Linked DNA regions of Bombyx mori. Each later gene encodes a partner of the first gene's protein in a complex. Links are inferred from orthologs where the notes say so. Each region holds a gene or a part of one and is shown in the gene's direction. Other genes may lie near its edges.

The links.
Region 2: mediator of RNA polymerase II transcription subunit 12 (region 1) and mediator of RNA polymerase II transcription subunit 13 share a complex: the UniProt entries of both Drosophila melanogaster proteins name them as parts of the cdk8 module of the Mediator complex. The link is inferred for Bombyx mori from reciprocal best matches to the Drosophila melanogaster genes kto and skd.
Region 3: mediator of RNA polymerase II transcription subunit 12 (region 1) and cdk8 share a complex: the UniProt entries of both Drosophila melanogaster proteins name them as parts of the cdk8 module of the Mediator complex. The link is inferred for Bombyx mori from reciprocal best matches to the Drosophila melanogaster genes kto and Cdk8.

Annotation. Positions count from the first base shown.
Region 1 is NC_085121.1:11,894,093-11,897,222, reverse strand, and holds the end of mediator of RNA polymerase II transcription subunit 12, read left to right. Parts: coding exon 1-70; intron 71-143; coding exon 144-393; intron 394-470; coding exon 471-767; intron 768-852; coding exon 853-930; intron 931-1,016; coding exon 1,017-1,223; 3' UTR 1,224-2,593; downstream 2,594-3,130. UniProt on the Drosophila melanogaster protein: Component of the Mediator complex, a coactivator involved in regulated gene transcription of nearly all RNA polymerase II-dependent genes.
Region 2 is NC_085116.1:1,958,181-1,962,580, forward strand, and holds the start of mediator of RNA polymerase II transcription subunit 13, read left to right. Parts: upstream 1-1,450; 5' UTR 1,451-1,574; intron 1,575-1,609; exon of another isoform or gene 1,610-1,648; 5' UTR 1,649-1,683; coding exon 1,684-1,752; intron 1,753-4,400. Other genes in the region: large ribosomal subunit protein mL50, read right to left, coding at 226-422, 927-1,012, 1,087-1,131. UniProt on the Drosophila melanogaster protein: Component of the Mediator complex, a coactivator involved in the regulated transcription of nearly all RNA polymerase II-dependent genes.
Region 3 is NC_085129.1:10,512,919-10,517,140, forward strand, and holds the start of cdk8 (cyclin dependent kinase 8), read left to right. Parts: upstream 1-1,407; 5' UTR 1,408-1,645; coding exon 1,646-1,891; intron 1,892-2,546; coding exon 2,547-2,798; intron 2,799-3,425; coding exon 3,426-3,615; intron 3,616-4,222. UniProt on the Drosophila melanogaster protein: Component of the Mediator complex, a coactivator involved in regulated gene transcription of nearly all RNA polymerase II-dependent genes.

The DNA of each region.
Region 1 (3,130 bases):
GAGGTCCATTCCCGCCCCGGCAGAGCATTAGGCCGATGCAACCAAATCAAATGGGCACAATGCAGGCGCAGTAAGTTACACCCGCAGCAATAAAGCTATAAAAAGTAATATAATATATCGTAAATCCTTCATATTTGTCACAGGCAAATGAATCCAATGGGGGGCATGGGCGGCATGGGACCGATGAATCAAATGGGAGGGGTACAGATGCCAGCACAAATGGCCGGAGGGCAAATGAGTTCGGCCCCGATGGGCGGTGCACAAATGGGCGCCGGACAGATGGGCGGTATGGGCGGACAGATGTTCGGCGGACAGTACGGCGGTATGCAACAAAGCTACGCCGGCTACGGGCAACAGATGATGCAGGGCGGACAGCAACAGATGATGTCTCAAGTACCCACATTATTTAATCACTAAATTTAAATATGTTAAAACTAAATATAAGCATTTAAATGAAATACTTGTTTTAGGGAATGGGACAGAGCGTTAGCCAAATGGGACAACAAGTCAACGCCATGGGTCAAAGTGTCAATTCTATGGGACAGAATGTCCCCCAAATGAATCAGGGTGTTGGTCAATCTGCACAAATGCCACAAGGCATGAGTCAGATGAACCAAAGCATGGCTCAAATGGGTCAACCTATGAGTCAGATGGGTCAAATGGGTCAAGCTACTGGTATGGGCGGCATGAATACGCAGGCTGGTTCAATGGGTCCTCAAGCTGGCAATGGCATGGGAGCGTTCGCTGGACAACAATCATTCCAGCAGGTGAATAAAAATGTGAATAAATTAAAGATTAGTGTCAAGCTTTAAAATTTCCTTAAAATAAAAATACTTTTTATTTTATTTGTAGAACATGATGGGTGGTCGCGCCACACAAGAAGCCTATTTAGCACAACAAAGACAAACCGCTCGACCGCCGTACATGCAGGTTCGTTCCCATGAATACCTATATACCTATAAACATCTAAGATTCACACTTCTATCCAAACTTATACTTGCTGAAACAAAAAACAGCAGGCGCCGAACGTGACGATGGGCGGCATGGGCGGCCCCGCCCCGCCCTACCCGCGCGGCATGCAGCCCCAGCAGAGCACGCAGTACCAGCAACAGATGACGCAGCAACGCATGCGGCAACAGATGCTGGCGATGCAACAGCAACAGCAACAAGGGCCGCTCGTACAGCACCTGCAGCGGCAACAGCAATATCAACCGCCCTATTGAAAATACACATAATCTATATATATACATAAATCAGTCAAACCGGCGTATGCAAGTGTATGTATGATTTTCACATTATCCAGATCTTATCGTTAGTAGTTTTACACACAACAATATAATAAGCATATAAATTATCAAACTAAAACCGACGATACTGTTACGATGAGAAAGCAAGCCAAGTCGGTCCCTATCCGGATTCGTTGCACTCTTAACGCGAACAGACGGTAGATGCCAAAATGCGATTGTCAAATGTGCGAAATTTCATTGCTAGCAAAATACTTGGGGTAAATGTTAGCGCTAGCTAGATTTGGCATAGTCGCATTGCTTGATGCAAGTAAACCGGAGTAATGTACCAAGAGAAAATAGCAAGTACGTTTCTATTGTTACTGTGTTAGGGTCCGTTCACACAGACCAGCTCGAAGAGCATCGGCCCGCTGTTTTATTTTCACACAGACCGGGTCGTCTACGTTTGGGATTGGCCGGAGTGGAGCCGCCGGAGCAGAGACCGACTGAAAGAGATCTGAAAGCGGAAGCGCACACAATCGGAGCCGGGCGGCTCCTCTTATTATTTCCGCGTTCAAGCATTCTTAAGGACAAATAAGTGTACATGCAAAAATAAATTTTACTACAATTACCTACTCAAAACTGTTTCCAACGGGAAAAATCTCCTCTCCGAGCCGGTCTGTGTGAACGGACCCTTATTAGTCCTTTATCTGTTCCAAATTACACATTTGTTTAATTAGAAAATTCTCTGAGTATTATACTAGGGTATTTACTGGCGATATGTATGTACGTACTACCGTGTATGTACTACCACCCTATTTGTTTTTGCCACGATGCGATCAGGCGTTCCGTCTTGAAAGATAGGGCTGCCATTATTTAATTACAATTAAGACCTTACATATATCGAGATGGCAGCGGCATTCACCTTGTTGTATCCAAGCACTAAGGTAAACGCTCAACTCCGTGAATTCGTCTTTCTGTATGTTAATAATGAAAAATGAAATTCGTAATCCCCTACACGCATCAATCACATACCTATCGTGAAAAACAGATTTGTTGTCTATGACCTTCGAATACATTAATATTTAAGTAGATTGGTTTGAAGAACACGTATTATTTATTTTAGTCCGGTTATTTAATTTGTAAAGAATTATATTAGAAGTAAGTAGTAATATAACAAATGACCTCTATTTGTTTAGGTTAAATCTCTTAGAAAATTATGACATACGAGTACTGTAGATAGCAATAGCTTAATAATTAACTAATTTTCTGTAATCATATTTTAGAGTTTAGTCATAACGTTTGAAATACGAAAACATCAAACATATTTTGTAAATATTTTTTTAGAAATAAAACTTTTGTAAAAAATACACATTTTTTTAATCTACCTCCGGTATACATTTATTACAAATAATTTTACGAAAATATGGTATGTGATACATTGAATATCCCATTTCAATTCATTAGTGATTTAGCATCTTGTGATCGTACACAAGCGTCGCCAAAATTAAAAAATACAGAGCATGGATTACCGGTTCTTCCACGAAGTCTCAGTTAATATTCCTTCAATTCATCAGATACATTAACTTCAATTCCTTTCCTTCATTTGATTGAATATTTAAGATAATTTAAATAAAGAAAACAGGGTTCTCGAATATATACCGAAAGTAAATAAAAACAAATTGTTTAACAATATATCGATTAAAACAGAATATAAGAAATTTTGTTTATTTTCCACTTCGTCTATCAGTAATGTGGAGAAATTGAAAATCGTAAAATTAGAATTTATACAAGCTAGAATAAAAGTAATCGAGAAAACGCCGAAAGAAGTCAATGTCACCGTTCTAATCTTATTCGAAATTAGAAATACTATTATAAAACCTATAGCCATAAATTCCTGTTTTTGT
Region 2 (4,400 bases), on another chromosome or scaffold:
CAAGCCGCTGCCTACCGCTTAATACTCTCCACAAGCCTCGTTTGAAGAAGGACATGTCAATTGTAATATTCTAAATATTAATCATTCATCATTCATATTAATAATTCATCTGAATTAATTTTGAATATCAATCACTAATAGTCCTCTTATTCTTATGTGTATAATGGTATTGGCTACTTGAGTACCTATCTACTTCAATCTCAATATTAAGAATTGTTTACCAACCAACTGTTTCAATTGTATGCAAAAGTGAATTAGGCACACTATGGCCTGTTTCTTCATAACAAGCTTTGAGAACTGTAAATTTTGTGTCCAATGCTTCAAATTCTGAATTTCCATTTAATCCACATGTTGCACATATTTTCAGAATTGTTTCATTGATGTTTGTAGGTGGATCCCATGACTTGGTGGGACGTAGGAAGCTTAAATAAATAAAAAATACTTAAATCTTATACTGTAATATGAATCTCTAAACAGCAACAATACCTTAAAATGTACTTTGATTAAATTTAAATGTAATTAAATGAAATTTTCAATCAAGAAAAGCCATGAATTATTTACAAAAAAACATGCTCGCAACAAAATATTTCTATGCATTTTCTTTTTTTTAATTATTTAGATTTTTTTAATAATGATAGTTGGCACGGAATCTAGTGTCATAGATCTAAATGTCTCAAGGTGAGTAGCAGCATTTAGATTTTAAGTATATCATTAAGATTTATGTATATTAAGTAGCATGTGAATCTTTTGACTTGTGACAATCAAACAACACTATCATAATATCTCGATGTAGCATTCACACTGTAATGTCTATGGATTCTATTCAATAATTTAAGCCAGGGAAACCATGAACTCATCTACCCTCTGGAGAAGAACAAAAAGACTTGTTATTGACACATTGACATGAATTGGTTTTTTTTAGTTACCCTCTTGCCGCTAAGGATTCTGCCGCTGCTTGAACCTTTTTATCTACTTTGGGATATTTTTTTTGAGCTTGTCTGATAGATGTGACCTGTGAAACAATATATTTGTTTTCATTAAATTGTTTAAGAGCGTTTTGAACGCGGAGATACTGATGAAACATACCTGGAAACTTCCACGACGTAAGGGTGATAATACATTTCTGAGCATTTCTTAATTTTTTTTGGTATCTACTAGTCAGTTTTGTTATATTTATAATTCTTAAACAATGTTATCTTTCGCGAACAGCATAACCATAACCTATATTTACTTTTTTGAAGTTGTCAAATCCACAGGATGGTTGGTGGCGTAACTCCATTAAACGCAGAGTTGTCCCAGCTATAAATTTTATAACTTGAATTCCGTATTTATTGGACTGTCAAAAGGTGTTTTTGATCCAAAGCCCTTGTCTAAAAAGCTGCTAAAGTAATTATAACGTTTGAACAAGACTCCTTAATTAATTTATAGCTATTATGAATTGTATTTAATAATTATTGTTGAACGAATTGTAATTGTTTCTGGACGAAATGAGCTTTCGATTTCTGCCGCTGGGTGCAGCACTGTCGGCTTGGGTTGTTGTTTCCTCTCCGCCATTTTCCAGTCGCCATTGAGAGGTGAAAACTACGCTAAATGTCGGTGATGATTTTAAGATTTTGAGTGGTTTCTTTAAGATTATACCTGTTTTTAGTGTTGTGAAATGAAAATGAAGTGCCCCGGACTACCATGACGCATCAAAATCACCAAACAAACGGTGCAAGTCTCGAGGATTGCCACACAAACTTCTTCGCCTTGGTAAGTCACTTTTACATTGATGAAAGAACTCGTATGTACTTTTCTTTCGAAATCGTTACGAAGTGTGTGACACCTGTGAAGTCCACTATTGTTTGACTACGTGTCCACATTTTTTTGAGAATTCCTAACTAAAGAGACCACGACAGTTAAGTGGACGATCTGATTATCGTCATCGGCCGTTGATATACGAAATTCGCCTCTCTGCAATCGGACTTCCTAATCGATCTTATTGCGCTATAATTTTAGTATGAGACCATTTACACAGAAACAACTAATGACGCCTGTTTGTTAGTCATCCTGGCATCGTTCTCGCGACACCACAGATTCACGTTGAGTTGCTAACCCACAAAATGTCAACGCATTCGGCTAGCGAGGCCATGAGAAGCCACCGGCCCATAGAGGTCATTTTAAATTCACCTGGCCGTAACGCGGACCGTAATGCGTTCGCAAGACTAGTTTCGCCAAGTCGAGGAAATAACTTTCATACGTTTGAAATTGTTCGCTTTATCTTTCGATAGCAAGACAGCTTCGAATGTTTATGTATGACAGCATGGTATAGAAATCGTCGGGGTCATTCATTATCGGTGCCTTATAGTGTTGAACGACTTTGCGTAATGTTCATAGCTGGCGCGAATTTTATCAGATTGTGTTCGGGTGAGGATTAGCGGGTGCGGGTTGAAGGTGCGGGGAGCCGGGGGCGCTCGGTCGTCCTCGGCGAGAAGCGAGAACAGCACGGGCGCCACTTCCACCTGACGCGTTGCCATATCTTCGCGCCGCGGCGGCGCGCGCCTGCCTGCACCCGTCTCCCTCTGCGCTCCGCCTATCTCGACACGATACAAATTACCGATTTCTTGCCCTGCCTGCTTATTGTCTAATTATTTATGCGTCGTTTGCGGACACAAGCTTTTGTCGTGTGGAATTGTACTCGTTTACGTAGCGCGATGACTGCGATGACGCATCAGAGGTTGCTAGGTTGACGGGTTCATTACACTCTTTTAGTCTGTTGTTTTTGTCAGATATAATTTTCAAATAGGTTTTTCCTTGGGCTGAGTTATGGCTTCAGGATATAAAAGATGAAATATTGAGGAGATCGTTCGGCGTCGAGATGGTATCGCAACACAGCGGCGTCTGCTCCGCGACAAGACAGATGTCGCGATGTGTGCGCGCGCGCACTGGTTTGCCGGCTGCGCAGGCGTCTTGCGGCTCATTCAACCGTTTATGAATGGTCGTAATGATTGTAACTTTCCCATAAGCGGGCCTCCGCCCAGGCACTACTCGCGTGCGGACAGATTACCTGTTCACTTGTGGCCCTTTGTCTTCTACTAGGTTAAAACATTCCTAATTTTGTTCAGTTTCGAAACGATTCAATGTTGCCTTTTTTATATTGTAATCGTTAAATATAGCCATTAGATGAACAGTAAAATGGCGTACGACGGCAAACCATTCTCAGTCTAAAATGAAAATATTCATAACCGATCTGGTTACATGATGGTGACCATAAAGTGTTGAAATCCACCGTTAAGTTATTCATGACATCTGACGAACACTGCTCCCACCCTCGGCCTCCGACCCCTTATCGCCCTCTATGCATACGGAGCACGACTTCAATTTCGCCTTGAATGTGCTCATATTTTCCCAGTGTTATGAATCCTTAGTTCCTTGTAGGTCATAACTTTTACAATAATACTACATAACGTAATCTTAATTTTTATCTCACATAGAAAACAACTCAACTCTTGTGATTGTTAGGTGTTGAAAGTTTTCGTTTTTATAATTATTTAACTGCCGTTATATGTATCTACAAAATAAATCTGAAATATTTAATTATGTACGAAAATTAAAACTCGATTATAAACTTTAAATGACTTAACCAGGAAGAAATCTAAAAAATCTTTAATTTTTATTAAAGTCCTTTAGGAGCTGCACAGAAAACGAATGGGGGGTCTAATAATAATACCTCATTAAATCGGGGGGTCATAAATTAAAAGCTTACGTCAACTTTAAAATTACATTATAACACAGATAATAAAAATTAGGATTTTCTTTCACTCCTGCTGAAGTATTTTATTTGTGCACACAGTATGCTATTACCCAATTGACGCGGGAGGGTGAGTCTTAATGAAAAGAAAAACGTTTTAAAGAACTTTACTGGTGGTAGGACCTCTTGTGAGTCCGCGCGGGTAGGTACCACCGCCCCGCCTATTTCTGCCGTAAAGCAGTAATGCGTTTCGGTTTGAAGGGTGGGGTAGCCGTTGTGACAATACTGAGACCTTAGAACTATATCTCAAGGTGTGTGGCGCATTTACGTTATAGATGTCTATGGGCTCCAGTAACCACTTAACACCAGGTGGGCTGTGAGCTCGTCCACATACCTAAGCAATAAAAAAAAAATTAAAAAAAAATTATGAACTCCCTCAGTACACAATTTTAAAATGTACAAATAACGTAGGCATTAAACATATTAAGGCTTAACAGCTTAGTTTAAAAGTAGCAGTATCATGATACTTCAGTAGCGTGGTAGTAAATAAATGAGCAATTACAACGAATACTTGCGTTCGTCGTATATCTCAAGGTCGTTAAAAAACTTCTACCTGGCTTTACGAAATCAGTGCCTTACTCGAACGCGGTGATGGTAAATAAAACTGAAC
Region 3 (4,222 bases), on another chromosome or scaffold:
CTATTGCGAAGTGAATTTATTTTGACACCACACCACAGATAAATTTAGACATATTGACACTGGCAACTGTCAATTAACAGTATTGTAGTAGTAGTAGTAGTTATATTTTTCCAACTATGAAGGCAAAAGTATCATACCATACACCTTAATCGGTTATAATTTTTTTATGAAAAATGATAATATGAAGTGAAATGAAATGAAGATGATTAATTTGTAACATTAATCAATTGGCACGAAATTAAATGAAATAAGATGAGATGATATGGGATCCACTGAAAAAATCTCAGTAAATGACCACCATTTTTCTGAGATTATATTATTTCATGCTATATCATCTCATTTCATTTCATCCCGGTTGATTAATGTTACAAATCAATCGTCTTCATTTCATTTCATTTCACTCCATATTATCATTTTTCATAAAAATAAGAATATAAATTAAAATAAGACATGACTTAAAGGTCTTAGTTACCCGGACATAAATTACCATAAATAATTTGGCGGGAACGCGAGGAGTGAAGTTGTGTGATTTGTTTTTTTTGTCTATTTAGTGTTTCTTCAGGTTTAAATGTGTATTAACAGTGGCTTATTAATTGTTTAATATCTGTGAAAGCGCACAAATGTGGGAAAATGAAACAAAGCCGCTGAACGTAACTTCTCGGGATCCTCCAAAAAGTCCACTTCAAAAGTCTTAGTGAATGACCACCAGTTTACTGAGATTTGAAATATAATCCCATATCATTTCATCTCGTTTCATTTCACTTCGTTTTCATTGTATTTCATTTCGTTTTCATCTCATTTCATTTCTATAATTTTTCATATTAAACAAAAGTTTTCATTAAATTAAAATAAGACTTGACTTATAAGTCTTAGTTACCAGGTCGTAAAATCCCTTAAAAATATGCATATGGCTACTTTAATGATCACAGATGAAACTTAAACTTTTTGGCGGGAACGCGAGGAGTGAAGTTGTGTGATTTGTTTTATTTTGTCTATTTAGTGTTTCTTCAAGTTTAAATGTGTAATAACGGTGGTTTATTAACTGTTTAATATCTGTGAAAGTGCACAAATGTGGGAAAATGAAACAAAGCCGCTGGACGCAACTTCTCGGGATCCTCCAAAAAGTTCACTGAAAAAATCTTAGTAAATGACCACCATTTTACTAAGATTATATTCATCCTATATCATCTCATTTCATTTAATTTCATCCCAGTTGATTAATCATTTTCATTTCATTTCCCTCCATATTATCATTTTTCATAAAAATAAGAATATAAATTAAAATAAGACATGACTTAAAGGTCTTAGTTACCAGGTCATAAAATCACTTAAAAAAAAGCAGATGAAACCATAGATTATACACTTAATTTATTTGAGAATGAAACTTAATTTAATTATTTAAGCTAGTTTTAGTGTTTTAATTTAAAGATTTAGGCTAGTATAGATATAATTTGCACTCATGAACTAGATATAACGGCTTTTTCACTAATTCACGGAGAATAATGTTATAACGTAGTGATTACTTGCTCAGTGAATAACGTCTTGTATATAACTTGTGAGGGAAGGTATTCAAAATGATTTAAAGTGTAATAAAATATAAATCCTAATTAGTCAGGGATCCAAACTGCATTTCCCGACCGTAACAATGGGAGACAACTTTCAAAATAAGACCATGGCGGCTGTGATGATGGACTACGATTTCAAAATCAAGACTCAAAATGAACGTTCCAAAGTGGAAGACTTGTTCGACTATGAGGGCTGTAAAGTAGGTAGAGGTACATATGGCCATGTATATAAAGCCAGAAGGAAGGATGGCTCCGATACCAAAGATTATGCTTTGAAACAAATTGAAGGAACTGGACTTTCTATGTCAGCATGTAGGGAAATTGCTGTAAGTATAAATACAACATAATTATTTCATTTAAGTAATTTGTTTTTAATTTTAAATAAAAATTTTAAATTTTAAATAATTTATATCTGTATAAATGTGAATTTATTACCATAATAATATGTTCTATGGGGAGTGCTATGAGGAACTGTTTGAAATGATTCCATCATCTCGTTTTTACCATCGCACCGCCGACCACCGAAATAGAGTTTGTCCACACTACCTTGAGCCACTCAGTTCATCCACAGTGTGTTTCCATACATATTTTTGCCATGTACCATACGGCTTTGAAATGAGCTCCCCTTCATGGTGTTTCCGAAGCGCTATGACATGCCCTTCTTCAAACGAGGGCTGTGGAGAGTACTTAACAGTAGGCAGGGGCTTGGCTAAGCCCCTGGCTGAAGTCCATGGATGACGGTAACCACTCACCATCACCATGTAAAAAATTTGCATATTTTGATTCTTGTTTCTATTATTATTTCAAATAATATGTTCATGGGATATTACACCTATTTTGATTGTGTTGTGTTGTATAATTATTGTGTACTGTAAACAAACATTGCATTATCAGCTGTTTTTCTACTTCATATTCGGTCTACAATATAGTAGTGTGGTTTAGATCATAATAAAAAAGTTCGTGTAACAATTTATTTTCTAGCTATTAAGAGAGTTGAAACATCCTAATGTCATAAATCTTATTAGAGTGTTTCTTTCACATACTGACCGAAAAGTCTGGCTGCTATTTGACTATGCAGAACATGATTTGTGGCATATAATCAAATTTCATAGAGCAGCTAAAGCTAATAAAAAATCAGTTATGGTGCCAAAAGGAATGGTGAAGAGCCTCCTCTATCAGATATTGGATGGGATACATTATTTACATTCAAACTGGGTTTTGCATCGAGATCTGGTGAGTGTGATGTATATAGTAATATTTATAATGATGAATCGTTCACATACTATGAGTTCATGTTGTATTGAAATTGTAATTTATACTAAATTAGATAACATAATATATAAAAGTATAATAAATATTATATTAAATAAATTACTATAATTGATAGAAATTCTACTGTTGGCCTGGAAGAGATTAGAAAGACTAGGACGGCAGTCTTACTAATCTCTTTTTGTGTTGAATGATGTGCATTTGTTGTTTTTTTATTTATTTATTACTAGCTGACCCGGCAGACTTTGTAGTGCCTCAATCGATAAATAAAAGACCCAAACTTTTGCATAAAATAAACTTAAAACAAACAGAAGGAATCCGTCCGACGGGGGACATATCAAAGGAAAAACAAAATTGTTATTTTTATTTAATTCCGAACATTTTCATATTTATCTACCTTTTAAACCTCTGGACTTCCACAAATAATTCAAGACCAAAATTAAGCCGTTCTCGAGTTTTAGCGAGACTAATGAACAGCAATTATTTTTATATATATAGATTATTTTGGTGTACCATAAATCAAACTTAATGAATCGATAAATATTATTTTTGTTCAATATCAATATATGTTATTTACAATTAATACTCCAGAAACCAGCCAACATATTAGTAATGGGTGAAGGACCGGAGCGTGGCCGAGTTAAAATAGCTGACATGGGATTTGCAAGATTATTCAATGCACCTTTGAAACCACTTGCTGACTTAGATCCAGTAGTAGTCACATTTTGGTACAGAGCTCCTGAACTGTTGCTTGGTGCCAGACATTACACTAAGGCCATAGGTATATATTTTATTACTCTTACAATAATTCACCTACAGCCACATAAAATTAAGTACTTACCTTTTACTTACTTAAGTAATTTTTACTTAATTGACGTCTACACTTGGCAGGTAAAACACCTTCTCTTCAGCATGGAATTAACAACTTGGTAGCACTTTATTAAATTCATCATTATTTAAATAAATCCCAAAAAGCTTAGAAAATAAAAACTATTATACTATTTTCATTTTTGGATTGTTACTTAACATAGCTAAAATTCATCTGAAATTTCAGTAAACCCGGTCGGTAATTGTGCATTCTGTGAACTACATACCATATCAGTAGTTCATTGTAAACATAAAATATAATGTAATCGAAGAAGAATATAGAAAGATTCCCACCCCATGACACTTGTTCAAAAATATCAGGATATGGGACTGCAGTAGGCCAAGGCGGCACTCAATTATTTTGAGCTCATGAAGTATAGACTCATTGGTGCAAAATATTATATGTGTATTGTAATGTTAAAATGTTGTTCTTTCACGTCAATACAAACCAATGGATTGACATGATTTTTTTTAAAGTGAAAGTATTCATACTGATACTTTTCCTGGACGAAATGTGTAGA